Linked DNA regions of Neurospora crassa OR74A. Each later gene encodes a partner of the first gene's protein in a complex. Links are inferred from orthologs where the notes say so. Each region holds a gene or a part of one and is shown in the gene's direction. Other genes may lie near its edges. The genes, in order: NCU04336, NCU07852, NCU06469, NCU02804, NCU07057, NCU04171 and NCU06768.

The links.
Region 2: NCU04336 (region 1) and NCU07852 share a complex: the UniProt entries of both Schizosaccharomyces pombe proteins name them as parts of the mitochondrial large ribosomal subunit. The link is inferred for Neurospora crassa OR74A from reciprocal best matches to the Schizosaccharomyces pombe genes mrpl19 and mrpl23.
Region 3: NCU04336 (region 1) and NCU06469 share a complex: the UniProt entries of both Schizosaccharomyces pombe proteins name them as parts of the mitochondrial large ribosomal subunit. The link is inferred for Neurospora crassa OR74A from reciprocal best matches to the Schizosaccharomyces pombe genes mrpl19 and mrpl12.
Region 4: NCU04336 (region 1) and NCU02804 share a complex: the UniProt entries of both Schizosaccharomyces pombe proteins name them as parts of the mitochondrial large ribosomal subunit. The link is inferred for Neurospora crassa OR74A from reciprocal best matches to the Schizosaccharomyces pombe genes mrpl19 and mrpl25.
Region 5: NCU04336 (region 1) and NCU07057 share a complex: the UniProt entries of both Schizosaccharomyces pombe proteins name them as parts of the mitochondrial large ribosomal subunit. The link is inferred for Neurospora crassa OR74A from reciprocal best matches to the Schizosaccharomyces pombe genes mrpl19 and mrpl27.
Region 6: NCU04336 (region 1) and NCU04171 share a complex: the UniProt entries of both Schizosaccharomyces pombe proteins name them as parts of the mitochondrial large ribosomal subunit. The link is inferred for Neurospora crassa OR74A from reciprocal best matches to the Schizosaccharomyces pombe genes mrpl19 and mrpl7.
Region 7: NCU04336 (region 1) and NCU06768 share a complex: the UniProt entries of both Schizosaccharomyces pombe proteins name them as parts of the mitochondrial large ribosomal subunit. The link is inferred for Neurospora crassa OR74A from reciprocal best matches to the Schizosaccharomyces pombe genes mrpl19 and mrpl16.

The regions. Positions count from the first base shown.
Region 1 is NC_026504.1:3,733,282-3,736,967, forward strand, and holds NCU04336 (mitochondrial 54S ribosomal protein YmL19), read left to right. Parts: upstream 1-1,411; 5' UTR 1,412-1,580; coding exon 1,581-1,721; intron 1,722-1,789; coding exon 1,790-2,125; 3' UTR 2,126-2,660; downstream 2,661-3,686. Other genes in the region: NCU04337 (survival factor 1), read right to left, coding at 1-125, 190-212. UniProt on the Schizosaccharomyces pombe protein: Component of the mitochondrial ribosome (mitoribosome), a dedicated translation machinery responsible for the synthesis of mitochondrial genome-encoded proteins, including at least some of the essential transmembrane subunits of the mitochondrial respiratory chain.
Region 2 is NC_026503.1:1,107,566-1,111,781, forward strand, and holds NCU07852 (mitochondrial 54S ribosomal protein YmL23), read left to right. Parts: upstream 1-1,615; 5' UTR 1,616-1,943; coding exon 1,944-1,964; intron 1,965-2,108; coding exon 2,109-2,639; 3' UTR 2,640-3,254; downstream 3,255-4,216. Other genes in the region: NCU07851 (superoxide dismutase 1 copper chaperone), read right to left, coding at 1-603, 765-956; NCU07853 (uricase), read right to left, coding at 3,477-3,583, 3,668-4,216. UniProt on the Schizosaccharomyces pombe protein: Component of the mitochondrial ribosome (mitoribosome), a dedicated translation machinery responsible for the synthesis of mitochondrial genome-encoded proteins, including at least some of the essential transmembrane subunits of the mitochondrial respiratory chain.
Region 3 is NC_026503.1:1,524,484-1,528,637, forward strand, and holds NCU06469 (putative mitochondrial 54S ribosomal protein MNP1), read left to right. Parts: upstream 1-1,660; 5' UTR 1,661-1,878; coding exon 1,879-2,079; intron 2,080-2,346; coding exon 2,347-2,676; 3' UTR 2,677-3,210; downstream 3,211-4,154. Other genes in the region: NCU06468 (midasin), read right to left, coding at 1-1,075; NCU06470 (hypothetical protein), read right to left, coding at 3,420-4,154. UniProt on the Schizosaccharomyces pombe protein: Component of the mitochondrial ribosome (mitoribosome), a dedicated translation machinery responsible for the synthesis of mitochondrial genome-encoded proteins, including at least some of the essential transmembrane subunits of the mitochondrial respiratory chain.
Region 4 is NC_026501.1:9,064,320-9,067,971, reverse strand, and holds NCU02804 (mitochondrial 60S ribosomal protein L25), read left to right. Parts: upstream 1-1,989; 5' UTR 1,990-2,181; coding exon 2,182-2,576; intron 2,577-2,664; coding exon 2,665-2,725; intron 2,726-2,786; coding exon 2,787-2,822; 3' UTR 2,823-2,995; downstream 2,996-3,652. Other genes in the region: NCU02803 (pre-mRNA-splicing ATP-dependent RNA helicase prp-28), read right to left, coding at 1-1,676; NCU02805 (diphthamide biosynthesis protein 4), read left to right, coding at 3,414-3,652. UniProt on the Schizosaccharomyces pombe protein: Component of the mitochondrial ribosome (mitoribosome), a dedicated translation machinery responsible for the synthesis of mitochondrial genome-encoded proteins, including at least some of the essential transmembrane subunits of the mitochondrial respiratory chain.
Region 5 is NC_026506.1:333,584-337,565, forward strand, and holds NCU07057 (hypothetical protein), read left to right. Parts: upstream 1-1,519; 5' UTR 1,520-1,800; coding exon 1,801-1,989; intron 1,990-2,129; coding exon 2,130-2,252; 3' UTR 2,253-3,025; downstream 3,026-3,982. Other genes in the region: NCU07058 (small nucleolar ribonucleoprotein complex subunit Utp14), read right to left, coding at 1-1,092; NCU17062 (hypothetical protein), read left to right, coding at 3,319-3,982. UniProt on the Schizosaccharomyces pombe protein: Component of the mitochondrial ribosome (mitoribosome), a dedicated translation machinery responsible for the synthesis of mitochondrial genome-encoded proteins, including at least some of the essential transmembrane subunits of the mitochondrial respiratory chain.
Region 6 is NC_026505.1:5,079,079-5,083,454, forward strand, and holds NCU04171 (mitochondrial 54S ribosomal protein YmL7/YmL5), read left to right. Parts: upstream 1-1,545; 5' UTR 1,546-1,820; coding exon 1,821-2,077; intron 2,078-2,213; coding exon 2,214-2,898; intron 2,899-3,101; coding exon 3,102-3,218; 3' UTR 3,219-3,550; downstream 3,551-4,376. Other genes in the region: NCU04170 (hypothetical protein), read left to right, coding at 1-1,153; NCU04172 (hsp70-like protein), read right to left, coding at 3,852-4,376. UniProt on the Schizosaccharomyces pombe protein: Component of the mitochondrial ribosome (mitoribosome), a dedicated translation machinery responsible for the synthesis of mitochondrial genome-encoded proteins, including at least some of the essential transmembrane subunits of the mitochondrial respiratory chain.
Region 7 is NC_026502.1:2,003,240-2,007,113, reverse strand, and holds NCU06768 (mitochondrial 54S ribosomal protein YmL47), read left to right. Parts: upstream 1-1,913; 5' UTR 1,914-2,149; coding exon 2,150-2,590; intron 2,591-2,674; coding exon 2,675-2,816; intron 2,817-2,885; coding exon 2,886-3,052; 3' UTR 3,053-3,187; downstream 3,188-3,874. Other genes in the region: NCU06767 (replication factor C subunit 1), read right to left, coding at 1-1,058, 1,122-1,163, 1,220-1,265, 1,328-1,433; NCU06769 (activator 1 38 kDa subunit), read left to right, coding at 3,601-3,687, 3,748-3,874. UniProt on the Schizosaccharomyces pombe protein: Component of the mitochondrial ribosome (mitoribosome), a dedicated translation machinery responsible for the synthesis of mitochondrial genome-encoded proteins, including at least some of the essential transmembrane subunits of the mitochondrial respiratory chain.

The DNA.
Region 1 (3,686 bases):
TGGCCTGCCACTTCAGGTCATCCTTGGTGGTTTCGGTATAGGGAGTTGTCTTGGCCTCCTCGGCGACAGACCTGATAGCCTCGGGGCCGTAGATAGGCTCCTTGGTGCCGGCGACATTGGCCAACCTACAAGCGAGTCGTTAGAGGTCTGCGTCCAGCGGATGGTGGGGGTGGTGCTTGGAGTACTCACGCCGCTTGCGCCCACTTGAACATGATGAAAGACTGGGGGGGGGGGGTATAGGGCGAAATGGGAAGAGTATAGATTACAGAAGCAAAAAGTCAAGACAACGAGGCGAAAATGAGTCTAGTTGTGAGAATTTTCCAGGTAGTTTGATGTTCAAGATTAAAGTCATTCACCGCCGTCGAGAAAGATGGGGCAGAGCTGAGATGGCGCCGCGCTCAGATAAAAGCCAATGGAAAACAGAAGGGGCAACCCAGTCTGTCCCAAATCTCCTACAAGTACGTACCTTTGGGCTTCCCCGCGGCCGACTGCCTCTAGCCGTGGCCCTCGATGCGTGGCAGTCGAGCAGCAAAGAAGACTCACTGGCTCTTGAAGGTGCACGTCACTGTTCCGCCCAACTCTCCACATCACCTGAGGACTTGACGATCGATTGGACCCTTTCAGGTTCCTACAGCGGGTCTGCAATCACTTGGAGCGTTCAGGTTTCGCAATGCTGTGTTCCCTTGCAGACTTGCAGCAGCTCGAACGCACCTTTGCGGCAGGGCAGGCGGCAGGCAATGACGGGAATGATCAATCCAAGTCACGCCCGGTACCCGTACTACGCCCCCACTTTTTTGGGACTCGCAAATTCGCACCCACCTAAGTGGGTGCTTACGAATAACACGGCCACACCACTAAAACGGCCACCAGGGTTAGAGGTGCGAATCAGATAAACGATACCAAAATAGTGAACGCCCACAACGTATTTCAACAACTAATTGAGAATAAAGAAAGAGTTAGAAGATAGTCAGGACAGAGTAATGTATCCGTTCAGCTTTTCATTTTTCAGAAATTTCTATATGTTGGGAAGTTGTGCTTTACCCTACGAATCGAGCCTCAAAACTGCACCTCTAACCCTGACCTGGCCGTTTTACTGGTGTGGCCGTAGTACCCGTGAGCACCCACTTTAGGGGGTGCGAGTTCTACGAGGTCCAAAAAAGTGGGGGCGTAGTACGGGTAGGAGAGCAATTGGGGACGAGCGAGGCCGGGACTTTCAGTTGACGGGCGGGCTCGGCGTCGATGCTGTACTAGTACTACTGTAAGCCACTAACGGCACTGAAAAGCGGCGATAAGGGACTGATTGCGGCACTTTACACTAAATAGTGTGTGGCTGAGGCTTTGAAGAAGTGGCTGACGTGACCCTGGCTGCAACGGTTGCCGGCCCGGCGCCCTGATTTTTTTTTGGGCCCAGCTTGAGGTGCCGCGCGCGGCGTCGCCGCCGCCGTTGCTGCCGCCGTCGCGAACGAGGATACCCGACCGACCTCGAAAGTGTAACACGCGACTGCAGACGCGCCGAATTACCGTTCCGTTCTCCTCCCAACTTAATTTCCCTCGAGGGTATCTGCAGTAGAGTCGCCAGAATGTCCAAGGCCGCAAAAGGTGGTGCTGGTGGTGTTGAGCAGGTGGTGAAGCTCATTGTCGGCGCCGGTCAGGCCAGCCCGAGTCCCCCGGTCGGTCCGGCCCTTGGTTCCAAGGGCATCAAGTCCATGGACTTTTGCAAGGTCGGTTTGCATGCGCCCACCCATATAATATCCACAACACAAGCTGACATGCGCTCAAATCTGTATAGGAGTTCAACGCCAGAACCGCCCATATCAACACCGGTACCCCTATGCCCGTCCGTGTTACCGTCAGGCCCGACCGCTCGTTCCACTTCGATGTCCGCACCCCTCACACATCATGGCTTCTGCTCAACGCCGCCGAGGCCCCGATAGGCAAGGGCGGCAAGAGAAAGGGCGCCAGCAACCCCGGCAAGGAGGTTGTCGGCACCGTCAGCCTCAAACATGTCTACGAGATTGCCAAGATCAAGCAGTCCGAGCTCCGTCTATCCGGCCTGCCCCTCGAGGGCCTCTGCAGGGCGGTCATCTACCAGGCCAGGTCGATCGGTATCAACGTTATCCCCTGAAAGAGGCTATACGCTGAAAGACATTATACGGGCTTGGGGGCACGAAGGCGTTACGGTTGTTTCTTTTAGGTGGATAGACCACGGCATTGTTACCAATATTGGATGCGGACTATAGCCATAGCTTGTGGCTCTGTGTATCTTTGCTTGTATCATTATTGTATGGCAAAATCTCAAAATGCACAGCGGTGCCTGGAGCTGTTGGTTGGTCCACGGAGTATGATCGTTTGGGAAAGGCTTCCACAAAAGGGTGCTGATGGCAGGCATGGCATATATGGGCATTTGCCGGTTTGCGTTTGCATTGCCTCAACGTACTCCAGCTTCGTCAACCTTGGCTCACATAGCTTGTGTTTGTGGAACACGCAGGCGTATGACGAGGATCTGTCTCTGTAGGATTAAGTTTTAAGGTTGGCGGTCACCAAGGTAGACCGCCCAACGGGTATTATGCTTACCTGAATGTAGGTGAGATGTGTTTATAATGCTTTTGGCTAAGCTGACTGCAAGACAAATCACACACATATATAAAAAGGGGTTTTGTAAACAAACATCCGCTTCGCCCAAGTGCTTATCCACCAGCCCACTTCTTACCACTCAGGCGAAGCCCCGGTATCATGTCGCCATGGTGTTCATCTCATGCTTTCAATACTAACGAGATGAAATGGATGATTGTTTAATATCCTACACGTGTGCAACGATTGCAATTACATTCAATGGCTTCTAGAACCATTCGGGCAATTACCTCCCGCAGCATGGCGGGGTATCGACATGGGTTACACCGAACCGAGCGATAAGGACCTGGTTTTCGGCGGTAGAGATCGACATAGAAAGCTGTTTACCATATCCGTTGGCAGTCCATCGAAAAAAAAGGTTGGGTGACATCAGGACAGTCACTGGAGACAAAGCTGACCACCAACACCACCTAGACTTGTCATCCATGCCTTTGCGGTGCCTCGGTCTTTCGGACACGGCGGCGCTCTAAAAGGCCGCTTTGACGGTGGTCGGGGCTGCTGCGGGATTCATACTTGACTCTCTGTTGTTCAGTTGAAACGCAGGGCAACGAGGATGACAGCCAAGGACGCAAGGCACAACCGGCTGAGGTGTTCACTCGAGTCATTGGGTGAACTGCCCAGTGTTTGAGGAACAACACGGGGCGGCGGAAACAGAGATGTGATGGAATGGATGTCCTGGCAGGAATTACGACTGCGTCAATGCAGCTGGTCATTGGCGTTTTAGAGGGGGAGGCGCTGCAATCGCTCGGCATCTTTCAAAGCTGGAAAAGGAAGTCGGACAAGATGGAAGAGGACATCGATGGACAGGATCAGGGACCTGACCCCAGGTTGCCGACCGCTCCCGGTTCCAATGTGTACTTGTGTAGTGTATGACAAAGACCAAGATCCAAGACGGGACTCCTATTGCGGTTTTGGGAACACTGACGCCCAGACAGGGTGCCCGCCGCCACGTTCAAACTGTTTGGCTTCGAGACCGTTCACCTTGTGAGGACGGGAGTCTGTGACTGCGGATCCGTCTGAAATTCAATCATTCTAGGAAAGCCGGCTTGGCCCGA
Region 2 (4,216 bases), on another chromosome or scaffold:
GAACGCGTGCCCAATCACCTCCCAGATCTGGAACGGGTGGCTGAGGAACACGCTCCCGCGTCCGTCCTTGTTGATCTCCACCGTTCCCAATACGCCGCGCGGGGCGTTAGGGTCTCCAGAGATCTGCGCCTTGGTGTCGGCCGTCAGCGTAGCAGTGCCGGACCACACCGGGCCGGCCGACTCGACACCCCGCGCAAGATCGCCGAACTCGCGGATCGTAGCGCGGTAAGTACCCGGCGCGATGCCGCGCAGCGTGAGGTCGACGAGCGTGGTCGAGTTGTTCACCTGCACCATGCGCGCCAGGCCGCGGACCATGCGGTCCGAGGCTCCCGGGGCGGGCGTGATCTTGTCTAGGGTGGGCTTGTGGTAAGTCTCGAGGATGCTGACGGCCGCGCCTTGAGAGTCGCCGGAACCGCGCAGGATGGCGTCACGGCCCGTGGACTGGATGGCGTTGACGATGGCGGAAGGCGCGGCCGTGCCTTCTATCGTGAGCAGCTGGTCCTTCAGGTTGGCCTCCACTTTGTTGATTCCGGGGAGCTTGTAGAGTGCACCGGAGACGTCGTTCACGCAGCTTTCGCAGTGCATGGGCACGGCGAAGAGAGTCTGTGAAATGAGTTAGTATGATGTGCCTCTGGAAGTATGTCAAGGTGAGTCAGATATGTGAGACAGGCTTGGACCCTTTATCTAAAGAAAAGGAAGGGCTTGGACCGAAGCTCATATGTAGGCATATATGAAAATGAGGCTGTAAAAGGGTATAAACAAACCTTGAAGGGGGTTGTGATGGAAGCCATGTTGCCGGCTATCTTCGGGATTGATGATTTGGGAGCAGCCGGGGATGACTGTGACTGAAAATAGTTCCTATGTTGTTGGCGTTGTTGCCAAAGGTATGCGCCTCCAAAACCTGCTAAAGCTAGACTAGAAATACTTAGGATTTGTCTGGCCGTGTACGGTGGCATCGGTTTCAGGCACTAAGAGGTAGCAAAGACAATACTGAGGACAGTATAGAAGTGGTGGTGTGAGAAGCAACACCAACGTGAGACGATGGATTTGTATAGAAGGCGATGGAGGAGAGCCCCACGTTCGGCGAAGGAGGGGACGACTAGGTACAATTAATAACGTTTTGGCTCCAGTCTACGGATGCTTAAGAGACGGGGTAAATGCGACTCTTGTGCTGAGATTCCTCATTGTTTCTCGACAAGAGAGTGCATGAAGTCACCTCACTGGAGTGCGAAATGTCGTTTTCCCATCTTCACTGTAAGACGGCAGGAAGGTAGATGTCGGCCTGCCAAAATGTTGATTTCAAAGCGACGGCACCTTTCTGGGACCACTTTTTGCGGGCGACCAACTGGGGCTCCGCTGTGTCCGGCTCCTCGATCGGCCCAAGCCAGGGCAATCCTGCTCCCCGAAAGCGTGTGATATGTACCGGGAAAGGAAGTGCAGGCTTTGGTACATGGGACATCAGTAAAAGAGAGCTCTAAGTGCGCCGAGTTGGTGTTTGTTAGTGCTTTCCTCAATTACACACTAAGACTTGCGGACCACCGTAGCCACCCCGCCAACCGCCAGCGGGCCGTCGTGCCCCAATCGTACGTGGAAATTTTCCGGCAAGAAAAGTGATTGCAGCTTTTGGGCTTGGCAGGCTCTGCTGCTGCCCTTCTGCAGGAGCTCCATTCTGCTTCCCGTGATACCGGACCACATTTGATACCCGTTCGCCGCGACAAGCCCCGGACTTTCTCGCGCCTGCCGAACCCGCCGTCTCGAACACTCCGGAGCCCGCCCGATCCCGTGTCATTCAATTGACCCGGACGATAACACATAGAGGTTCACTTACCACCAGTCGATGAGGGACTCGTTCCCACTGGTTTTCATACCTGCCTTCTCCACCTTAATCCTCTCTTGAACACCATAGTATACGACCTACATCACCACCGCGCAACACCGTCAACATGTCGCAAACAGTCGGAGCTGTAAGTTTCTTCCTGTTCGGACACAACTGTCCCATAATTTCGTCGTGTTTCTTACAATTTTGGCACTTGCTCGCCCTCCCGCCACCACCACCACCACCTCCACCACCCGTCACTAACCACCGCCGTCTTGCGACGAACGTGTAGACCCGACTAGCCTACTCCCGTGTCTGGCACCACATCTCCGCCGTCACCCCTCACCCCACCCTCTCGACCATCAAGGCTCCTTCCGAGGCCATCACTCCCCCTTCTCTCGGTCGCCTCGCCTCGCGCATTGCCACCATCCTGATGGGCAAGCACAAGCCGATCTGGGATCCCTCCACCGACTGCGGCGACTACGTCGTGGTGACCAACTGCGCGGGTTTGTACACGACGGGCCACAAGAAGTGGCGCAAGACGTACTACCGCCACAACACCCGGCCCGGTTCGCTACAGGCCATCACCATGGATGCGCTGATGGAGAAGCACGGCGGCGCCGAGGTGCTGCGCAAGGCCGTCAGCGGCATGCTTCCCAAGAACAGGCTGCGCGACAAGAGACTGGCGAGGCTCAAGGCGTTTGAGGGTGATGCGCACCCGTACAAGGAGAACTTGGTGCGATTTGGCGGTAAGGTGGTGGGCGCTCCAGGTTGGGAGGAGGCTGTCAAGGCTATCCGGGAGGCGGACATGGAGAGGTTATGAGCGACCATGGCTTTGAGGTGTGAAGGTCTGGTTGAAGGCGCTGGAGCTGGCTATCTACTCATGGAAGAGTGTCAGAGAAACGGGAGAGAAAGAGATGTAGGGACGAATCTACATCGAGCCGTTACGAACCATCTAGCCGACGAAGACTGAGAACTCTGTCAACTGTGAGGAAGATTGTGTGGACAACCACCTCGTTGGGGCGAGAAATCTCTCTCGTGTGTTCTTGTGTCTGTTACAGCCCACTTGGCCGTGTGATTCACGGGCAATGCCGCCAGTGTCAGTCTGTATATTACATGGGAAGCCGGTTCATGAGCCCAGCGCGCAACGGACAGTGTACGAACTTGGGTTAGAAAAAGGGGGCCTCTCATTGTACAAATATATCACTCAACAAGATACCATGATTACGACTCATGAGAGCTGTTTAGACTCATTGATTGTTTGATCTGATAAGCGATGAGCAGATCCTCATGTCCAACACGCTGAAGGCCCGCGAAGGCAAAAAGTCAGCCTCACCGATTTCACGGCATATTTTTTCACTTGGTAATTCGAGAGTGCAGCTAGCAGTGCTTTTCGGATGCTTGCTTGTTCATAATAGGAAGTTTATTTGATTACCCCTGAAAATTAGCGCCAGTCAAGATGTCCATAGCCTCCGTCTCATGATGATCCGTTGCATCAAGGTATCATCATCTTTCCACCTTCAAAACGTACGCCTGCCCGCCAACCAACCCCTCGGAACGTGAGGGGGAATGCAAAAAAAAAGAAGAAAAAAAAATGGTGATATCATAAAAGAAAGCCAAAGAAACATGTGTGACGTTTTAAAAACAAAGTTCAACAGTCTTACGAGCGAGAGACCTCGCATTTGATGAGACCGTTGGGACCAGACTGGGGAGCGTACACCTCGGCGTCCTTGCCGGTGTTCTGGAGGCCCTTGTGCCAACTGAGATCTGTTTTTTTTTTTTGGGTGTTAGTGTAAATTTATCTGGACCTATTTTTTTTTTTTTTGGTGGATTTGCGAAAGGGGTACTCACCAACTTCAAAGTAGTGCTTGTTGGGTAGCGAATAGTTGGTCTTCTCCGTCTCGGGTACCGCATCCAAGATCTGCTCGCACATCTTGTACATAGTGTTCTGTACCGACGCCGACTCGTCTTCCGCAAATGTCTTGAGCGTGATGTTGCGGGCAGCCTCCCACGCAGCGTCGAAGCGTTCAACACCGTCCTGAACGGCCGCCAGGTTGGCACACTTCTTCCAAGTCCATCCGGCATCCACGTCGGTGGAGAGAATGCGGTCCCACGTCTCCTTGAGAGTGGTGAACTCGTCACGGACGAAGCCGTGAAAGGCGGATCCAGTGCTCTTGAGCACCTGGAGGCCGACGATGCCGCTCTTGATGGTGATGCCGTCCCGAGTGACAGTGGCCTCGACGTTGCGAGTCTCCTGGCCGTCGCGCAGGAAGCTGTGGGGGTGGGGCTGGCCGTCAATGACCATGCGCGTCCAGCGGTGGACGGTCACGTCAATGTGGGCGGCGCTGATGTGGGCATACTTGTCGAGAAAGTGTTGGCCTAGGATACTGGCGTACAGCT
Region 3 (4,154 bases), on another chromosome or scaffold:
CGTCGGTTTGCTCGTTCAGGTGTAGTGTCACTAGTTGCTTCTGCTTGCCTAACTCGCGCGCAATCTCGTGGACTAGGGAGGTCTTGCCGGAACCGGACAGGCCGTGGAGGAGGATAGGCCCGGGTCGTTGCAGGCACCCGGTGAGGTTCTCGAGGTTCTCAACAGTCGTCGGGGTAAGTGCGAGGGTGGTGGGAGCAGTCACAGGGCCGAGGGGACGCGGGAGGACTGTCTTTCCATATTTGACAACTAGAGGAGTGAGGTTCTGTTCTGGGATGTTTGTGATATTCAATTCGACAACCGCATCGTCAACCGCACTAGTTTGTTGGGATTTACTGCGAGAGCTCTGAATGTCTTCACGTCTAGAATCCTCGTGTAGGCTGAGGAACGCATAGTCGGCTTCGCGCCCGTCGAGCTCTGCGACAAGGCTGGTATCTTTGGGTATGTGCTTTTCGAGGAGGGCTTCGATCTTGACATCGGCGGCATTATGAAGCTGGCAGAAGATTCGGACGGCAAGATATCGGACGATGGGGTTCTCGTGTGCGAACAGGGTCTGTATTTGGGATGGCTTTGACAGGCCGGCGTAGGTGCGCTTGTCAAAGTTGTTGAGCCTCCAGAGGGCTAGGAGGACAATTGGGAGGTCATCTGGGCGGATCGAAGCTAGGTCAAGGGAATCGAGAGGTTTAAGTTTTGAAGAAGCATCATTGTCGTTGCTTTTGTCGTTGTGGTTACCACCATTAACACCACCAAAAGATCCTCCTCGAAGATGCGACACGAGGAAGACGGACAGCGACGGGGCGAAGGGCAAGATCCTTGCGAAAGCGGCAAGGACTCGCGTATCGAGTTTTGGAGAAGACAGAATCCATCTGGCGCAAATATCGGCAAAAACAGACTCGAAATGGGTAAAGATGCGGTCGGTGGCTGTCGAGACAAGAGCGGCGCTGGCGATCGCATCGAGGAATTTGGTCGATTGGTGATCCTGGATTATGAGCAGCAACTCTGGCGGCAAGAGGTCCAAGGTGGTCGCATCGCTAAGGAGCGACGCCCTCTGCTGGCTCACATCGATCACGGCCATCATGGCCAGGGAAAAGCGACGGGACGGGTTGGCGTGGATGTCGTCGTCGTCGTCGTCGTCGTCGTTGTGAAAAACGGTGATGTTTTTCTTAGTCTCTTTTTTTTTTTTATCTCTAACTTTTTTGCCCATTGAACTTCGCTTTCTCCCGTTTGGAACTTTTTCCCACATGAAATTCCTTATCGCGCTGAACGATAGTGCGGGGTACATGCTACTTAGCGCTAGGCGCATGTGCTGGGGTGTACTGCATAGTACTCTACATAGTGTAGTGTAAGTCGGCTGCGGCAGGCAAGGGAGCCATCTTCTTCAAAAGTGGAACCTAGTTCCGGGTGGGACGAACAGCCCAGCGGCAGCAGGGGCGCGCTTGGGATGACAGGGGCCCATCCTTTAGCGCGTCTTCAGTGGACTTCAAGGTACAGAGGTACCTAATCCCCAGACTCGCGCGGGGCAGGCAGCTTGGGTTTTCCCCTCCAGCTGCAGCTCCGGGTCAGCCAGCCGTCATAGATCCAACTTGCACGCCCAAACCACCAAGCTGCCAACTGCCAGTAGTGGGTCCCAGATTTCGCAGCACCCGGGAGCGCGCGACAACGTCCCCAAAAAAATATCTCCGTTTAGTTGTTGTACGGTTCGGTTGTACGATCCTCGAAGTCGACGTCGACGGCAAGCCTCCCTCACCAAAAAAAGAGAACCCCAATCCGACCGCCCCCGCGCGCCCTCTCTCTTTCCTTCCTCCGGTCCGAGTCCGACTCCCCTCTCTCCATCCATCCATCCACACAACCCACCACCACCAACACACACACATACCAACAATGTCTCTCTCGGTTCGCTTCGCCGCGCAATGCGCCGCCCGCCAGCTCCGCGCATCCACCCGGGCCTCGAGCTCCCTCCTCGTCCAGAAGCGCTTCGAGTCCACCGCCGCCCCTGCCGCCAACCCCAAGATCGCCGCCATTGTTGACCAGATCAGCACCCTGACTCTCCTCGAGACCTCGGAGCTTGTGTCCAGCCTCAAGGTACGCCCGATTTAAATAAAGCACGAGAAGAAGAACAACCGGGGCCGGGAACCGGGACACACAAAACCCGAATCGGAGCATGTTTCAAGGTTTCCGGATGTTTTTGCGCCCCGGACCCGACCCGACCCGACCCGGCCCGGCCCCGGACAGACAGACAGACAGACAGACCTATCTTATACTACCTAGACTCTCAAGTCGCACACATGTACATGGGCACCAACACTAACACTCACTCTCTCTCTCTCTCTCTTCTTTTACACAAAACAGTCCCGCCTCAACATCCCCGATCTCCCCGTCGGTGGTTTCGCCGCTGCCGCCCCCGCCGCTGCCCCCGCCGCCGCTCCCGCTGAGGAGGAGGAGGCCGCCCCTGCCGCTGCCGAGAAGACGCTGTTCACGCTCAAGCTCGAGAAGTTCGACGCCGCCGCCAAGCCCAAGGTCATCAAGGAGGTCAAGAACCTGCTCGGCCTCTCCCTAGTAGAGTCCAAGAAGTTCGTCGAGAGCGCGCCCAAGGTCATGAAGGAGTCGGTACCAAAGGAGGATGCCGAGAAGATTGTCGCCGCCATGAAGGAGCTCGGCGCCACCGTCACCATGGACTAAACTGCTGCTTCTGCCTAGTAAAAGGGTTGGTTGCTATGGTTATGGTCTCTGTGTGGTGGTGTGGTGGGTGGAGGCGCCGTGTGTGTGTGTGTGTATGTGTGTTGTTGTTTTGTAGGATGGTCACGTCCCTCCCCCGCAGAAAAAGAACCAAACGAGGAGATCTTTTCCTGACACAGATGCCGGAAAGATATTTTCTTTTTTTTTTCCTATAATGATGATCATGACGGGACAGAGTTGGAAGAAATGCCAGGGCCTTGGGAAACACATAAAGGGGGATTCTCGGTCTCATCTACATTATATCCTCATGGGGAAAGGGGGGGAGTGGCGGACACAGATTCCTCACAACAACATATACCACTTGTACGTGTACAAAAAGCAATGAAACATGTAACATTATATCATACTACGAGAACTGGGATGGATAGAAGAACGGGTTGTCAGCGAAAACATGAGAGTCTGTCGACGATATTACCGTGAGCAGATGCCGCTTCTGAGTTAATAGTATCTCCCCACTTTCGCTTATGGATACCGAAGATAACTAAACAGCCAAAAACATAAACGCCATCCCATGCATACCCCATGTATCGGTAACTTCCTTGTTTCTTATTCTCAACCTCCTTCTCCTTGCCTCCTTCAATTTTCTTCTTTCTATCGCACTCCTACCAGCGCGCCTCTTGTATCCACCACCCGTGTCATTCCTACTGGTCTTGAATTCCCAGGTTCTCTTCTCCTCCGTCGGTTTCCTAACCCGAAGTCATCTCCACATCTTTATCTTGCTTCTCCTGTTGCTCCTTTTCCAGCTGCTGCAGCTGCTTCCTCCTCGCCATCTCGGCAATCTCCCCACTAATCGACATTGGCTTTTCCTTCATGTTATTCCCATTCATACCATCATCCCTCTCACCCCCGTTACTGGTAGAGGTAGTATGCCCACACCCCGCACCACCACTCCCTCCAATCCCTCCAATCCCCGCCTGCAAACTCCTCTCCCACTCCTCCTGCTCTTCCCATATCGCCCTCATGTCGTCATCCCCCAACTCTGACGTCTCCTCCAGCAATCTATCCAGCTCGTCTCCGCTCGGCACCGCCCAGATGTTCTCCCTCAGCCTCTTATGCCGCTCACGATCCTCCTCGATACGTTGCTCAACTTGTTTCTTGTCGAGACGAGGGGCGGCAGTGTTGACGCCTCCGCCGCGTTTGCTCAAATTGCTATGCTGTTGGTTGCTAGAGGAAGGTCCGCCGGCGGCATTGGTGGCGTTGGTGCTGGTGGGGAGGGTACCTGCTGCTGCTGTGGAAGAAGATGGAGGAAAAGGAGGAGGGTAGGAGGAAGAGTGGATGGCGGTTTGCGAGGGGGGCATGTTGGTATCGTATCCCGATGCTGCTGCTGAAAGGTTGTTGTTGTTGTTGGCAGAAGGGGAGAGGACGAGGTCCCCTTGGGAGGAAACGTAGGATTCGCCGCGTTCGCGGAGGACTTCAAAGAT
Region 4 (3,652 bases), on another chromosome or scaffold:
ATCTCCTGCAGACGCTTCTTGCGCTTGTCTTCGCCGGATACGAACTCGACGCGCTGCTCGACCGTGTCGACGGCTTCGCCTGCGTTACCAATGGTGACGATGGCTGGACGACGTAGGTATTTCTTGGCGATGCGCTCCACGATCGGAGGCATGGTAGCTGTGTACATCATAGTCTGTCTGTATCGATCTTTGCCGTCCACGTACCGGCTCATCAGTTGTGGATTCTCCGCATCGTCTGTATCTGGCTTTTCGTTGGTTACCGGCATGGCATCCAAGATCTTGGTAAGCGGCTCCTCGAAACCTTGGTCAATCATACGATCGGCTTCATCCATGATTGTGTAGCAGCACTGAGAGAAGACGAGCAAACGTCTTTCAAGGCAGTCCACGAGACGACCAGGTGTGGCGACAATAATCTCGGCACCGTTCCGTAGAGCAAACGCCTGCTCTTCGAGCGAGTGACCACCCACAATACTGACGACTGTAAATCCGAGAGGTGTAGCAAACTTCTTGGCCTCGCTCTCAATCTGTTGCACCAGTTCTCTTGTTGGCGCCAGAATCAGGGCATATGGACCGTCGTTCTTGTTGTACTCGGTCAGGGGTGGTAGTTCGGAGATGTAAACCAGCAGAGGCAGCAAGAAAGCTGCAGTTTTACCGGAACCCGTCACGGCCACACCGATCAAGTCGCGTGCTTGAAGGGCAATGGGAATGGCAGCTCTCTGAATCGGCGTCGGCTCGTCGTAACCCACGTTCTTGACAATGTCGAGCAGACGCCTAGGCAGCGTGGACTCTTCCCAACTGCGCATAGGGTTGGGAATGGCACCGCCCTTGGTGGCAATGCCAAAGTTTTCCTTGAAGATACGCCAATCGCGCTCCTTCATGTCCTCCAGCTTCTTCTCGGACCAGTGCTTGCCCAGGTTCTTGCGCTGTTCCATCTCCTTGATCCGTCTGTGTTGTTCCAGGTATTGCCTGGCGCGCTCCTCGCCCGTCTCGGGATCGCCACGACGGATGGCTTCGGCCTTCCGCATCACCATCTCTTCCGTCATCTCGTAACCACCAAGTCGGACCAGAGGCTCTTGACGCTCTGCGTAGATGGGGTCGAAGGGTCGGCTAGTGTCGTCATCGGCATCCCAGTCAAAGTTGAACTTGTTCGCTGCCGTCCTCCTCCTCTTCTTCTTGGCCGAGAATGTGGACTGATTTACTACTGGACCCATGTAGCGGGCGCGCAGCTCTGCCTCGTCGTTCCTCTCCATCTTGGCTCGCTTCTCTTCGTCATCGTTGGGTGCGCCGCGTTTTGCGCCCCGTTGGTTTCTGTCTCGGTTATCTCTGTTGTCGCGATTGTCTCTGTAGTCCCGACCGTTGCTCATGCCGTTGGGTCCCCGGTCATCGTCGTACCGCATCGCCTTGGGTCCGGTTGGGATGTTTCGTTGAGGGTTGTGGTTGTGATGACTCTGGATACCGTCCATGCGGTTGCCGTTATGATTTGTTCCATTTGGTTGAGGCTTGGCTTCTTCCTTGCGCTTGCGTTCCTCTTCTTCCTTTGCCTTTTTCTCGGCTTCTAGCCTCTCTCGTTCCTTTTTGGGGATGAATCTTGGTTTCGCGGCGGCGGCTTCTTCCTCCTTCTTCTTGCGCAGCAGTGCTGCCAGGTCTGGGGGTTCCCGTCTTGATGTCGTGCTCATCGTGGTAGTGTATGGAGTTGGTGATGAATCGAAGGAAGAGACTGGTCGGAGGCGACAGTGTTGACAATAAACGTGTTGATTTCCAAGCAGTGCTGGGTTCCGGAATGGGGTTGTTGTTATGGCGAACTTGGGTGGTTCTGGGGTGCAGCAGCGGTGCAGCACAGTTCTCGACCCGCCCAAAAGTTATGTCACGGTTCAAGGTCGGTGATCCCTGTCGTGCCTGTTCAAGGGTCTCCACATGCCCCGCCTTACGCGGGGGGTTAAAGAGGTCGGGTTAGGGCTCAAAGTGTAACTTCCGGCTGTCGCTATGTACCGTTTCGCGACCTGGAACTTTTTCGCAGTTGGGGTCCCGTCGGCGGCCGATTGATCGCAAAGTTCCCCGTTCCGGTTCGTTCGAGCAATCCGGACCCTGTCACCTACGACAAAAACAAACAAACAAACAACCCCCCCCCCCACCTCGACCGACACAGTACCGCCAGCAGGCCGGTCGATCGACATCTTCACCATGGCGGCCACGGTGAAGCAGCACGTCCAGCTGGCGCTTTCGCTCCCACCGCGGTTGCGCACCTTCTTGGCCCGGTACCCGCCGGCCTCGATCCTGCCCGCCGGCGCCGACCCCGAGACGCACAAGACGCCCTACCAGGAGGAGAGCCCGAACCCGTTCATGCCCACCAAGCACCCAATCACCGGAAAGTGGCACAACCCCAAGTACTCGCTCAGGCGACAGGCCGAGCTCGTCAAGCTGGCCCAGGAACACGGCGTCGAGGAGCTGCTGCCCTTCACCCGCAAGCTCAACGAGGAGAAGCTACGGAAGAGAGTCGAGCTCGGTCTCCGTGTCAAGGGTACCGGTGTTGGAGAGAAGGTCAAGGGTCACAAGCACGAAAGGACACTGGTTGCCAAGTACGTTGTCGATCCTCGGCTGCTGCTGCTGCTGCTGCTGCTGGTTGGGAGGAAGTGGTGGTTTGCTGACGGTGGATTTCGCACACAGGATGGAGAAGAGGAGAGAGGCCATGCTGGCTATGCCCGACCTTATCCGGGAATGGAAAAAGGTAAGGATTGCGCCCAAACTCTTGCGGTTTGCACTCTTGTTAACCATGGGCTTCGCTACAGGTCGGCAAGAGGAACTGGACCAAGTTCCCCAAATAAGCGATCGGTTGTTGTCGCTTGTCGGGAAGATTACAACGAGAGTCACTGCCATGTCCATAGACTGTATCATCACCAACAATGTACAACAAATTTCAAGCCATTTGGAAGGGGATTGCCATCAATGTGGTTCTGTTTCCCGGTTGTTGACTGAACGTCCTCTGGCGTCTTATAAGACGGAGTTCCCCACTGTGGTTGGAGGCCGAGACGAGGTAATGTGTCTAACGGTGCAGTAAAATTTCCCCCCCGAATTTGTTTCTCTGAACAACTCACTTCACGATACCAGGCACACAACTAAGACTCAAACCACCACGTGAGAACCGACACATCACACATCCTCTTTTTTTTGCCTATTCACATTTCCTACTGTATACAGCAACATAACAAGGGCAGCGAGCGCAAAGAGACACGTGATTGCGGGATACAAACTTTTCTCTCGAAAGCTGCTCGACGCAAACCACCAACCTTTCACCACTTACACGTCGATACATTTCAACACCAAACCGGTCTCACAACCATACCATTTTATACCCGGGGCCGCACTACCAAACACCACATTGAACACCAAACCGCAAAACCACCAACACATCCAAGATGTCCCAACCAACCTTCTACGAAATCCTCTCCCTCTCACCCACCACCTCCGACCTCACCCCCGCCTCGATCAAACAAGCCTACCGCCGCGCCCTCCTCACCCACCACCCCGACAAGTCTTCCTCTAACTTCTCCTCCTCTACCTCCAACAGCCACTCCAACAGCCACCCCAAAGGACATCACCCCCCAAAAACACGCTACACAATCGACCAAATCTCCCTCGCATACACCACCCTCTC
Region 5 (3,982 bases), on another chromosome or scaffold:
TTGACTGTCGAGGCCGGCGTCGTGGGCATTTTGCGCGAGGGGGAAAACCAGGTGATCCGCACGGCGGTTGTGCTTGACTGTGTCGATCCAGCGCTCGAGCGTCTCGGAGGTCTTTTCGTAGGCGGCGGAGCGGAGGAGCTTGTCTTGTTGCCTCTTTGCGAGGGGGATGTCGAGCTTCTTGGATTGCCCAGGCTTGGCGGCCTTTTCCTCCTTGTTCATGAGCTTGAGAGACTTCTTCATGTGGGGGTCCTGGACGCCAAGGAGGCCGAGATCTGAGAGACTGAGTTTGTTTGTTGGTTTCGAGCCTGATTGCTCCTCGTCGTCGTTGTCGTCGCCCGCAAACCCGGAGATCATCTTTTGGAGGTCGTCGAGCTTGGAAGGGTCTTCCATATCGTCGTCACTGTCTTCGCTTTCGCTCGATTCGCTGTCCGCGTCGTCTTCCGATCCTGACTCCTCTTCGCCCTCCTCCTCCTCGCTGCTTTCATACTGATCCAGTGCTGTGGCGAGATCGATGGCGTCGGAACCGAGCGACTCCAAGTCATCGTCCTCATCTTCGTCCTCTTCCTCCTCATCACTGTCGTTTCCACCCTTCTTCGCCTTCTTGCCCTTCTTGTTGGAGCTGCTCCCGCTGAAGGCATAGCCATCGAACTTTTCCTCGTCGCTCTCACCAAAGGCCTCATCAGAGTCGAGTTCGGAATCTTCGTCATCAGCGCCTACACCAACGTGCCACTCCTCGCCATCGCTGTCCTCGCCACCGTCGGAGAAGCCTTCGAAATCGTCGCTGTTTTTGGCCTTCTTCTTTTGTGGCCTGGCGTCCTCGAGATCTTCCTCATCCTCGTCTCCGTCCTCATCGTCTTCGTCGTCGCCATCTCGTTGTCTCTTCTGGGGGCGCTCTTCGGGCTCGTCGAGGTCTCGTGTGCGGACGCCCTTGGCTTTCTTTTGGGGGACTTGTTCGGCGGCAATAGCGAAGGCGTCGAGGACGTTGTTTCTGGATTTCCTATCGGCAGTCTTGTTGTTGACTCTGTGCTTGGGACGCCCTCCGCCGCCCGACTTGGGCATTAGAGGCCTGCCGTGGGCTTGACGGCCGGGCATTTTGCTGGTATTTGAGAATTGACTGATTGGAAGTCGGAAGGTAATTCAGTCAATTAAGTTCGAGGTCGAGCAAGCAAAAATTGGGTGATGAGATTGTCGACGAAGTCCAGTGGTTGGATGGAATGAATCGATGGATGTCAATGTCCAACTTTTGCCTGCACGGGTCCTGGAGGTCGAAGTGGTCAGGTCCCTTCAACGGCAACTCCCACCAAGCCTTCAACTTTCTGCCAGTGAACAAGCTCCCCCGAAACTTTTTCTGCCGCCTCTGTAATCGATAATTTTCGGGCGGTGAGGGCGCAACACCCACCCATTTTGCGGGGCCGCAGCAGGCTACAGGGGTACCTGTTTCTCCCAGCCTCACGTCATTGGCTCAATTGAGCTCCAAACTTCTGAAATGGCTCCACCTCAACCCGGCGCGGCCCCGGACGTCTTTGCGATTTCTCGATTCCAACCCCGTCGCCCGTCGCCCGTTGCCCGTCGCCGTCCGTGTTGTCCAGCGCCAGTCCGAGTCCGAGTCCGAGTCCCGTCTCCGTTCCTGTCGCGTGCGCCGGATCTTCAACACTCTAAAGCGGATCCCGTCTCCGTCCCACTTGCGCCCACCTCAACCACCCTCACCACAGCGAGGTGCTTCCACCACCCAGATCACCGACCACAAAAAGCAATTCTCCGTCGTCGTTGCCCCGCAAAGCGCAATCCTCCTAGCCCACCATGCAGCCCACTCGCATCCTCCAAGGTCTCAAGTACCGCAAGTTGCGCCTGACCACCAAGGACGTCAACAAGGGTTTCTACAAGGGTAACCGCACCGGTTCCATGGGTACGCACACCAGCTACGGTACCTACAAGATCGACTACACCAAGGTCCGCACCTATGTGTGCCCGGACCTGACCGGTTTCAAGGTGGGTGGTCCTCTATTTCCGTCCGGGTTTGGGGTTGGAATGGGATGTGTTGGGGGATCTGGTGCTAGGGGAGGGACCGAGAATGGAGGACAAAAGAGAATAAAAAAGAATTATGCTAACAAGATCCAACAACAACAAAGCTCACCCCCTTCGTCTCCAAGACCATCCGCCCCGTCCACGACCAGTTCCCCGGCGACAAGCTCGGCCCCAAGAACCCCGCCACTTACCTTGCTCGCTGGAAGTCGGAGAACGGTCTCGACTAAACGGTCGTCATTTTTTCAAGGAGGGAGGAGGAGGACATTACGATACCAGACCACGGCGAGGAAATGGAGCGAGGCTCACTCAACTATCAAACTACCAAACGCAATATATACCCAAGTTCTGATTACATTCCGAAAGCCTGCCGACACAGACCCGTTCGAAGGACCACGAGCCACTCTCCACTGTACATTATATGACCTGACCACCAGGAATCAACCACCTAGCAGCTCCACTGTTCTGGGTCATATGTGAAATTGGAACATGTCCAGGTTCTCTGCCTTTGGAGTCGCCACGCTGCTACCTAGGCTGATGGTCTCGACATTCCTACCATTGAGATACAGCCTGATAGCTAACCATACGTATTCAAAGAACACTCGCCTTCAGAGCTGCCTACGATACATCTCCCCTTTCGGATTGGTTCTTTGAATTTTGATGTCACGATGATCTCGCCGTCACATTTCTTTTCTTCTAGAAGAGACAAGGCCGATTTATATGACTATACCCAAAGGTGTCCAATGGTCCCTGTCCGAGATTCAAGGGGGTCTTGTTTCAGTTGTTAGATTATTGAGGGAGCGAGATCGGGGATTTTAATAGGGTTAGGGCTTAGGTCACTCTTGTTGATTGTTGCCTAACCTCTATTTGCCCTTTGCCTGGTCGCCTTTGAGAAGGTGCGTTGTGTGCCTAGCAATGAGGGGTATTTCTACCTAGAGGTAGTTTCGCGGGTTTCTTCCTTTCCTTACCTTCAGTTACTTTATTCTAAGCAACCACCGCCTCCCAGAAGAACCTTTCTCTGGCATGAAGCAATTCACCTTCGGCTCAAGTTTCACGACATACAAAGGGATCACCGAATTCAAACGAGCGAATCCCGTCGAGAAAGTTCGCCCCAACTCGCCAGTGCGCCCCATCAATCCCATTTGTTTTGCATGAACTTGTCTATGGTCTTTCTTTCCCTTGAATCTCCTGGCCACCCAGCTCTTCCTGAAGCTGCAAGCCTCTCCTCATTCACTTGATACCTTGACATGTCATCTGCCCATCCCACAACAGACCTAATCATAATCAACCAACACCATGAAACCATCTGCCCACTTCAACCATGGACCGATCGACAATGCCTTGGCAGAGGAACCCGTCATGAAGTCTCGCTACCCCCCCAGGCAGCTTAACAAGCTCTGTGATGGTTGCCAAGCAGTGTTCCCTACGACTGGGCCGTGGTTCTGGGACCTGGAAGACGCCGTGCTTGCCGACGAAGATGATTGGCACCTGCGGGATTTCAGCATTTGTGACCTTCACGAGTCGGCAGGGGCGGGCTGTCACTTGTGCAGGGTCTTTCTGGACTCCCTACTTCCACCCGATATGATCGTGGGAAACCGTCAAGGATACGTTGAGTGGTACGAGGCTAACCAAAAAATCCGACTCCGTTGCTCACTAGACAAGGACTGGAAGAATGTAGACTTGCCCATGAAGTTGACGATTCTCAGTAACTATCAGGAGCAATCCACCTTGGGTGAAAGGTTCGCGACTTCCTCTGTTCAGACACTACGATTCCAGTCTGTCCGCCCAGCCTTGTCGGGACAGTGCACCAACGGACCAGCCTGGATAGCGGATATAAGGGACTTCCTGGGAAGCTCATCGGGGTATGGCCCTCTCACGATATCCCAACCGACATCAACCACTACCTTCGGCTCGTCCTCAATCGAGCAAGTTCGGAAGTGGTCGACGCAATGTCTTGAGG
Region 6 (4,376 bases), on another chromosome or scaffold:
TGCTCCTGCGGTTGTCAGTACCACTCTCTCTGCACCTACTGTCACTTCAGTCCCTCCTGCCGCTGGCACAAGTACTACAACCGCTGCGGCTGTCACGAGTACAGATCCTGCTCCAGTCACCACTACCACCACTACCGCTACTAGTTCTACTACGAACACCACCCCAGTCTTGTTTACAACTAGTACAACTACTACAACCGCCGCCGCCGTTGCTACTACAGCCCCTACTCAAGCCACCACGACCATCGCCACTGCTGCCACTACTTCCACCACGAACATCGCCTCAGCCTCGCCTACAATTCCTGCTGTTGTGAACTGGGACTACCAAGGATGTGCCAGTGACTCCAACACCGCCGCGCCTACTGCTCGCGCGCTCAATGGCACCTACCTATACGACAGCGCCGGCATGACCATTCAAAAATGTCTTAACTACTGCGCCCAGCAAAACTACCCCCTCGCCGGCCTCGAGTTCCAATCCCAATGCTACTGTGGTCTCGAGTTCAAGCCCGGCTACAGCCTCGGCCAGACTGGCTGTAATCTCACCTGCGCCGGTGACCCATCAACACGCTGCGGTGGCCGCGCTCGTCTGGACGTCTTCAGACAAACTAACTACGTGACGCCCCGGCTCGTCAACCCGTCCGTGGTTAACGGGCGCTTGGCGACGCCACAGGGTTGCTTCATCGACAACTCAACGGCTCGTATTCTCAAAGCTCACTCGTACACCAACAGCACGAGCATGACGGTCGAGATGTGCCACGAACGCTGTCAGTCGAGGGGCTACAGTCTCTTTGGCGTGGAGTTCGGCAAGGAGTGTTACTGCGGCAATTCGCTCGCGGACACGGCGGTGGCGGCGTCAGAGCTGTATGAGTGCAAGAGGTCGTTCTGCGTCGGTGATAAGACGGAGTTCTGCGGTGCTGGCTCAAGGTTGTTGCTTTACAGTATTCAGCCGGCTGGGACTACTTCTCCTGCTAGGAGGAGTATAGAAAGGAGAAACGAGGGGATGGTGAAGGTGAAGTTACCCAATTTGGGCAAAGATGGGGAGTCTGATTATGAGTTGAAATGGGATGGTGATGGGGGTGTGGGACAAGTGAGAAGAAGCGGCTCTGGGCGGAAGAATATTGAGAGGCGATGGGGACGTAGTCTTGGACGGTGATGATGATACTTGGATGTTTTTTCTGTTTTCTCTTTCTTCCCCGTTACATACTTTGTTGTTATTGCTAGACATGCTGATAAGGTGTGCGCGGAATGATGTAATTATTAGTGGCTCGGAGGATACTTCGAGCAAAGGAAGCGTACGCATATACAAGTGTCTCCTAATCTAATCATACATGTCGTCTTAATGTGTTGGAATCCTGATCTGAATCGCTTATATTGGTACAAACATAGTGATATATTTCCAAATCCATGCTTTATTTAGAGTTCATCAACCACATCAGATGCATTCTCAGGGGTCCAGGAACGCTTTCAGGGGTAACAGACTCATATCCCTAACCCCAAACTCATCCAGCTTTGGCCCGTGCTGCCAAGCATTGGCCCCGGTTCGAGACTCCGCAGAGGCTCCAAAAAAAATTCCGGCGGGCGGCACAACGGGGACCGGCACCTCTTCGAGCCTCGACGCGGGACCAGGACCTTGCGCTTGCCGGAGAAGGAACCTCGCTGCCCTCTGCCCGTCCGTGACAGACCTTCGGCCCCGATTTCCCGCGTGCGCCGGACCCTCTTCCTCAACCACCACTCCGAAGCGACAACCTCCACGGTCGCCAATTCCGAAACCAGAGCGTCCGCCCGAACGCCGGTTTCTTTTTTCGGTATCCTAATTCACCATGGCCAGTCTCCGCGGGGTCTCGCGATCGGCTCGCGCTCTTCAGCCTTTCTCTGCTCAGTTCGCCGTCCGAAGATGCGCCTCGACACAAACTGGTGCCGGCGCTGCTGCCGCTACTCCCAAATCCAACATTCCCGACCTCGCCGAGCTTGAGACACGGTCGGCATTGGACGCTCCCATCCCCAGCGAAGAGGACAAGAAGGAGTTCAGGCCATGGAAGCGCGCGGCCGACAGGAAGGCGAGGTTGCCTAGCAGCAGGTGCGTTATACACTCTCCCTCCGTCCCGTGGTTTACATAGCTAGCCACACACATGTATATATACATACATATACGCAAACCATAAACAAGATGTTTAAACGTTGCTAACCACCATGCCTCACCTCCTACCGAACAGATACCAATACCACCCCCCCAAGTACAACCGCGGCCCCCTCCACCCCATCCAATCCCCTCCCTCCTCCGACCCTATCGCCCGCGACTTCGTTCCCGGCCCCTTCAACATGCCTCGTCTCAAGGAAACCTTCCGCACCGTCATGGCCTCGGACCTCATGACCCTGGCCTACATCCACACACCCCCGGGAACGCCCAAAAAGGAACCCACGGAGCGCTTGCGTGCCTGGGAGGGCGACTCGCCCTACTTCGCCAACCGTGCCCGCCGCGCGCCCCGCGGTGCCCCCGAGCTTCCCATTCGCGAGCGCGACATTTCGTTCCGCAACATCCCCGAGATCAAGGAAATCACCGTCTCCACCTTCGTGCCGCTCGGTCTCAAGAACCCGGACTTGTTGATTGTGGCCCGGGCGGTGCTGCTGGCCATGACGGGGACGATGCCGGAGATGACGAGGTCCAAGAACAACGTGGTGCAGTGGCAGCTGCAGGCGAACAAACCGGCTGGTTGCAAGACGACGATTTACGGAAACGCGGCGTGGGAGTTTATGGATCGGTTGATCCATTTGGTTCTCCCCCGGATCAAGGATTGGAAGGGCGTGCCGGCGAGTACGGGTGATGGAAGCGGTAATGTGCAGTTTGGTTTGAATCCGGAGGATGTTCAGCTTTTTCCCGAGGTGGAATGCAACTATGATGTGAGTTTGTTTCTTGGGAAATGATGGGTGGAAGAGAAAGAGAGGACGGAGGAGAACAAAAGTTTGGAGTTGGAGCCGGAGCCGAAGCTACAGTAGGGAGGGTTCTGGTTCCGGCTCTGGCTCCGGCTTTGGCCCTACCGTCTGCTTCGTCTTCTTGTTTTCTTGGACTTGACGACAGATTACTGACTTTCTATCCTCTCCAGATGTACCCCGCCAAGATGATTCCCGGTTGCCACATCGCCATCAAGACGACAGCCACCTCCGACAGGCAGGCTAAGCTTCTGCTCCAGTCCCTCGGCGTTCCTTTCTACAGCAACTAAGCGCCAAACGGGCTGTTGATCGTGAGAGGTTGAGAAAGGGACGAGATTCAAGGAAGGGGGATGAGAAGATGATGAACAACATCTCGCATCATGATAGTTGTTGGATGACAATTGAGGAGGATGAGGAGATGTGTGAAACTTGTACAATACGAATACACTAACCACATAAGGACGATGTATGTTGGGTGTATATATACCTTTTGTAACAACATCACGAGGAGGAGGCTTATAGACGAAGTGGAAAGGAAACGGAAGAAGAACAATACCACCGGGTCTGACGGTCAAAGATCAAAGAAGTAGAATCACAAATGCGTAAAACAATTGGAAGGGTGTCATCATTGCGTGAACTGGATTGTGTAAACGGACATCGTCAAGGGTATCTGCTTCATAAACAACTCCCAAGTCTAGAACCACATATCCATATCCCAGTCTAGCTTTGCACAGAACAGGTCAAGATATTATGACAACAGAACCCATTCGTCTTGATCAACCAAGGATCTCCAAACAAAAAAAACCAAACGCCTTTTCCAATGCCAAAACCAAAACCATATCTTTTCAGTCCCATTTTCCTTTCATTTGGTCATCCCCATCATGAACCCCAAACCCTCAACCTACTCATCCCCTTAGACAGCTCTAAGCAGACTTGGCCTTGTTTCTCAAAACGTCAATAACCTCATCCACTTTATCCATATCCGCCGCATCCACCTTGGTCCCGTTGTTCACCAAAACCTCATGACCGCGCTTATGCATCTCGTCCGCCGCGACATCCATAGCCGGCTGATAATTCCTCACCGCACTGCTAAGCGCATACGTAGCCTTGCGCCTCACCTTCTCCGACTCGCCCTCCTTCATCGCCAGGTCCACCAACTTGGGCACGCCGCCCATGGCCAACAGCCGTTCCTGCGTCTTTTGGTTGTTTTGCACCGCCGTGCCCAGGCACCAGGCAGCGTGGTACCTCATATCCTCGTCCTCGTGATCCAGCAAGGAAATCAAGGGGGACCAGAGAGACAGTTCCTCAAGAAGGTTTGCGTTGTCCAGGTTCTCAATCAGCTGCTCGAAGTTGTCAAAGGCGATCAACTTGTTTTCGCGCGTGGTCTCGGGGGAAGGGTCGGTGATCACTTCCATGGCGGCTTTCATGAGCTCTGCTTCGGAGGGACC
Region 7 (3,874 bases), on another chromosome or scaffold:
CACCACCGGCGGGCATCGTCCTGATGAGGTAAAACAAGCCCTCCTCATCAATGGTCTTGATCCCATGCTCTTTGATCTTCCTCAGCTTGCTGGGTCCTGCATCGTCGCCGAGAACGACGAAATCGGTTTTGCTGGATGGCGCTCCTGTGACCTTGCCACCATAGCGCTTGACGAGTGCTTGGGCTTCCTCACGCGCGATAGTCTTGAGCAGGCCGGTGAACACAAAGGTCTTACCCGCCAGACAATCAATTTCACCTTCAGGAATGTCGGCAGTGCCCGCCATGGGGGGTGGACCCGCATTGCCAGCTCCGGCGGCCTTGGTCTTCCAGTCAAACTTGACGTTGGGGTCTTTGGGAGGAGCATCTGGTGCTTCAATTGTGGGAATATTGTCGAGGATCTTCTTGACGTCCTCGGGTTCTTCAACCGCCGCATCCTTCTTTGCCCTTGGCGCACGGGGCTTAGCGGGGGCTCCCTTCTTCTTCGCTGGCTTGACTTCTTCTTCCTCTTCGTCTTCCTCGTCACTTATAACAACCGAGGATTTCCGCTTCCCTGCCGTAGTAGTTGTAGATTTCTTGTTCGGCTTGCTGGGTCCAGGCTTGACGTCTTCGTCGTCAGACTCGGCTACGGCTGCTGTTTTGGCGCGAGATGCCATTCGCTTGGGCTTGGGGAGGAGCTCCTCGTCACTGTCCTCCTCGGCATAGTCGTCGTCCTTTTTCCTCTTGCTGCCACCCTTGAATTCCGCCGCAAATATGTCCTCTCCAGCATCGTGCTCATCATCCATGTAGGCATCGCCATCGTCATCCTTGTCGTAACTCTTGTAGGCCGTCGTGGGTTTCTTCGTAGTCGAGGTCTTCTTTGTAGTAGTCTTGGGAGGCTCTGGTGCTTTGGCAGCGGGGGTGGCTTTCTTCCGCGGGCTTGTTCGAAGCGCTACTTTTGGTTCTTCTGGCTCGGGTTTTGCGGGTGTCTTTTTCGGTGTTGACTGGGACGCAGCAGCAGTTTTTGTTTTTGAGGTTGCAAAGTACTTGGCAGCATCGGTTTCAACTCCTTTTACGGGTTCCCTAGATAGTCTGTCAGCAGGAATAGGATGACATGGAACTGAGAGGTGTTTCATAAACACTTACGCTACTTTCTTCTTTGGCGCAGCCTTGGTTGGCTTTTTGACTCTACACATGCTGGTTAGATGCTAGTTCTGAGAAGAGATGCTTTTCACTAAGCTTACTCAACAACCTCGTCATCTTCGCTGTCCTCAACAACCTTTCTTGGCCCTGCGACAAGATTGTTAATATAACGTGATAAGCTTGTGATGGCGATCATGGTTCAAGCTTACTACCCCGGGTCTTCTTCTCCTCTTCCTTCTTGGGTGCTGGTGTTGCCGGCTTAGCAGGCGGCGCGCCACCTTTTGGACCAAAAAACGAGCGAATGTCGGCAGGCATGATGGAGTATGTGAGAAGAAATCACTGGATACAAAATGATAAATTGAATGTGTCAAAAGGTTGGGAAGATGTAACAATCAGATGACACCAGCAAGCATCTTCTTATAGTGGCGGAGTTGGGAAGTAGGGACTTTTGTTCTTGGTGTCTGAGTTGTCCAGGCAGCTGTCCTTCTGCCTAACAAGTGTTGTTGAACAAAAGGCCTAGAAGGGTAAAGAGCTAACGGGTCGACTCTTGTCCCTTGTAAAGACGGAAGTAACAATTGAATGATGAGTGAGACGCGAAGGTGAAGTGGATGACGCGAGTCTGTGTCCGGGCTCTGCTCCCCTGTCGCGACTGGTGGGGCCTTGTCCTACAAGAATTCGCCAACTTGCTGCCTTGAGCTACGCCCACGCAGCTGTATTTCTTGTGAGGAGTCAATGAATGAGTCCCAGGTCCCGCTTGTCTGCTGTGTCCGGCAGATTCCATGTCGCGGCCGGCACCCGACACTTTTTGGTGGGTCACAATTTTTGGAAGTGCCGTCCGTGCCCCGTCCGCGCCCGCAGCACCTTCCATTGCAGGTAGTCGCTCTGCCCGGTCCCCGTCTCTGTGCGCGCGCTGCTTCGGGGAATCCGTATCAATCGTCGTCGGCGACCGGCATCCAATTGGACCCTCCCTCCGTCCTCCGTCCACCACTCGTCCCCTCCCCGGTCCGGTCCACACCCAAACCTTCAACACAATGAAGCACAACGCTTCCTCGGCGCTCCTCAGCGCCTTCCAGGGCCTTAGGATATCCTCGTCGGCGACTCCCTTCCGTGCCGCGTCGCTCGCAACCTCTGCCGTCCGTCGCCCCATTGCGCCGACCCCCGTTTCCGTCGCCTCCCATGTCCGCCTATTCTCTGCGACCGCCATCCAGGCTGGTTCGTGGCTCGAGCCCAACCTCAACAGAAAGAAGAAGATGATGAAGGGAAGGCCCAGAGTGCCGACGGGTGGTTCGACCAAAGGAACAACAGTGGTTTGGGGAGATTACGGCCTGCGCATGCGCGATCACCACCGCAGAATTAGCGCCCAACAGCTCAAGCTCGCCGAGGACACCATCAAGCAGAGGTTGCGTGGTCAGAAGTACCGCCTGTACAAGCGCGTTGCTTGTAACGTCGGTGTGTACGTCAGCGGTAACGAGGTGAGCAGCTGAACAACCCACAGCCCGGGAAGGCCGGATGCCGACTGTTAGCGGACATGAGGCTCACATGCATTTCCGGTGTAGATGCGTATGGGTAAGGGTAAGGGTTCGTTCGACCACTGGGCGACCAGAGTTGCCGTCAACCAGATTATCTTCGAGATCAGGGGGCAATTGCACGAACAGGTCATCCGTGATGCCTTCCGTTTGGCCGGACACAAGCTTCCAGGTAATAACAGCACATGCTGGCCCAAAATCTTTGCGAGGTTGAGAAGAGTAGAAAACTGACAAGTCATAGGTCTGTACGAGTTTGTGAAGAAGGGTGACCCACCAGTGGTTGGCATCACCAAGTTGGAGGATGGCCTCACGGTGGAGGACCTCAAGAACCCAAGGAAGAAGTTGTTGATGCCAGAGATTACCCAGAGTGCTGCGAGCACATCAAGCACTGCTGCTCCTCCTTCGTAGAGGTGGAGAACCCTGAGCCTATTCTAATTGTAACACTATGTAGAACAACAGAAGGGCCAATGTGCAAAAGAGTGTTGCCATGGCCATTTCATGATTATTATGACGACGTAACAAGCATCACCACTTTGATTTCAATGCTCTGAGAATGTGTCCGTAAGCTACTACCAGTTTACCTGGATGGGCCAGAGCACCACATCGAGTCAACAAGCAATGCTGGCTTCCTAGATATACCCTTTCAACCATGCCATGAAATGGGCCCTATACTAGATGTCGGTTCATGGAAGATCCAATATCCAGCATCGGACGTTGCAAAACTCAAAGAGATTCAAGATAGCTGCCTAGAATACTGATGGCGAAAGTGGGCAACTGTCTACCCCAGGGCCTGTATAAGCGGGTGATATGGTCCGTGCGGCCATCCCCCGTCATCTGTTAATTGATTTTCTGGACGGCGCGTCAACTCGACGCGTCTCCCATGCACCTCCAATCCAGCATTTCTTTCCCCTTCCGTTGTCAACCCATTTTCCTCTCCACAATATCACCACACCACGATGGCGCTTATTGTTGACAAGCACAGGCCGAGGTCTCTCGATGCCCTCACCTATCATACCGAATTGTCGGAGAGGTTACGGTCACTTGTAAGTAGACCCTCTTGTTCCCCTCGTGCAAAAGAAGCTCCCCGCTGATGACACTCCTAGGCGCAAAGCGGTGACTTTCCCCACCTCCTCGTCTACGGTCCTTCCGGCGCAGGAAAGAAGACGCGAATTGTTGCTACCCTCAAGGAGTTGTACGGCCCAGGTGTAGAGAAGATCAAGATCGACGCCC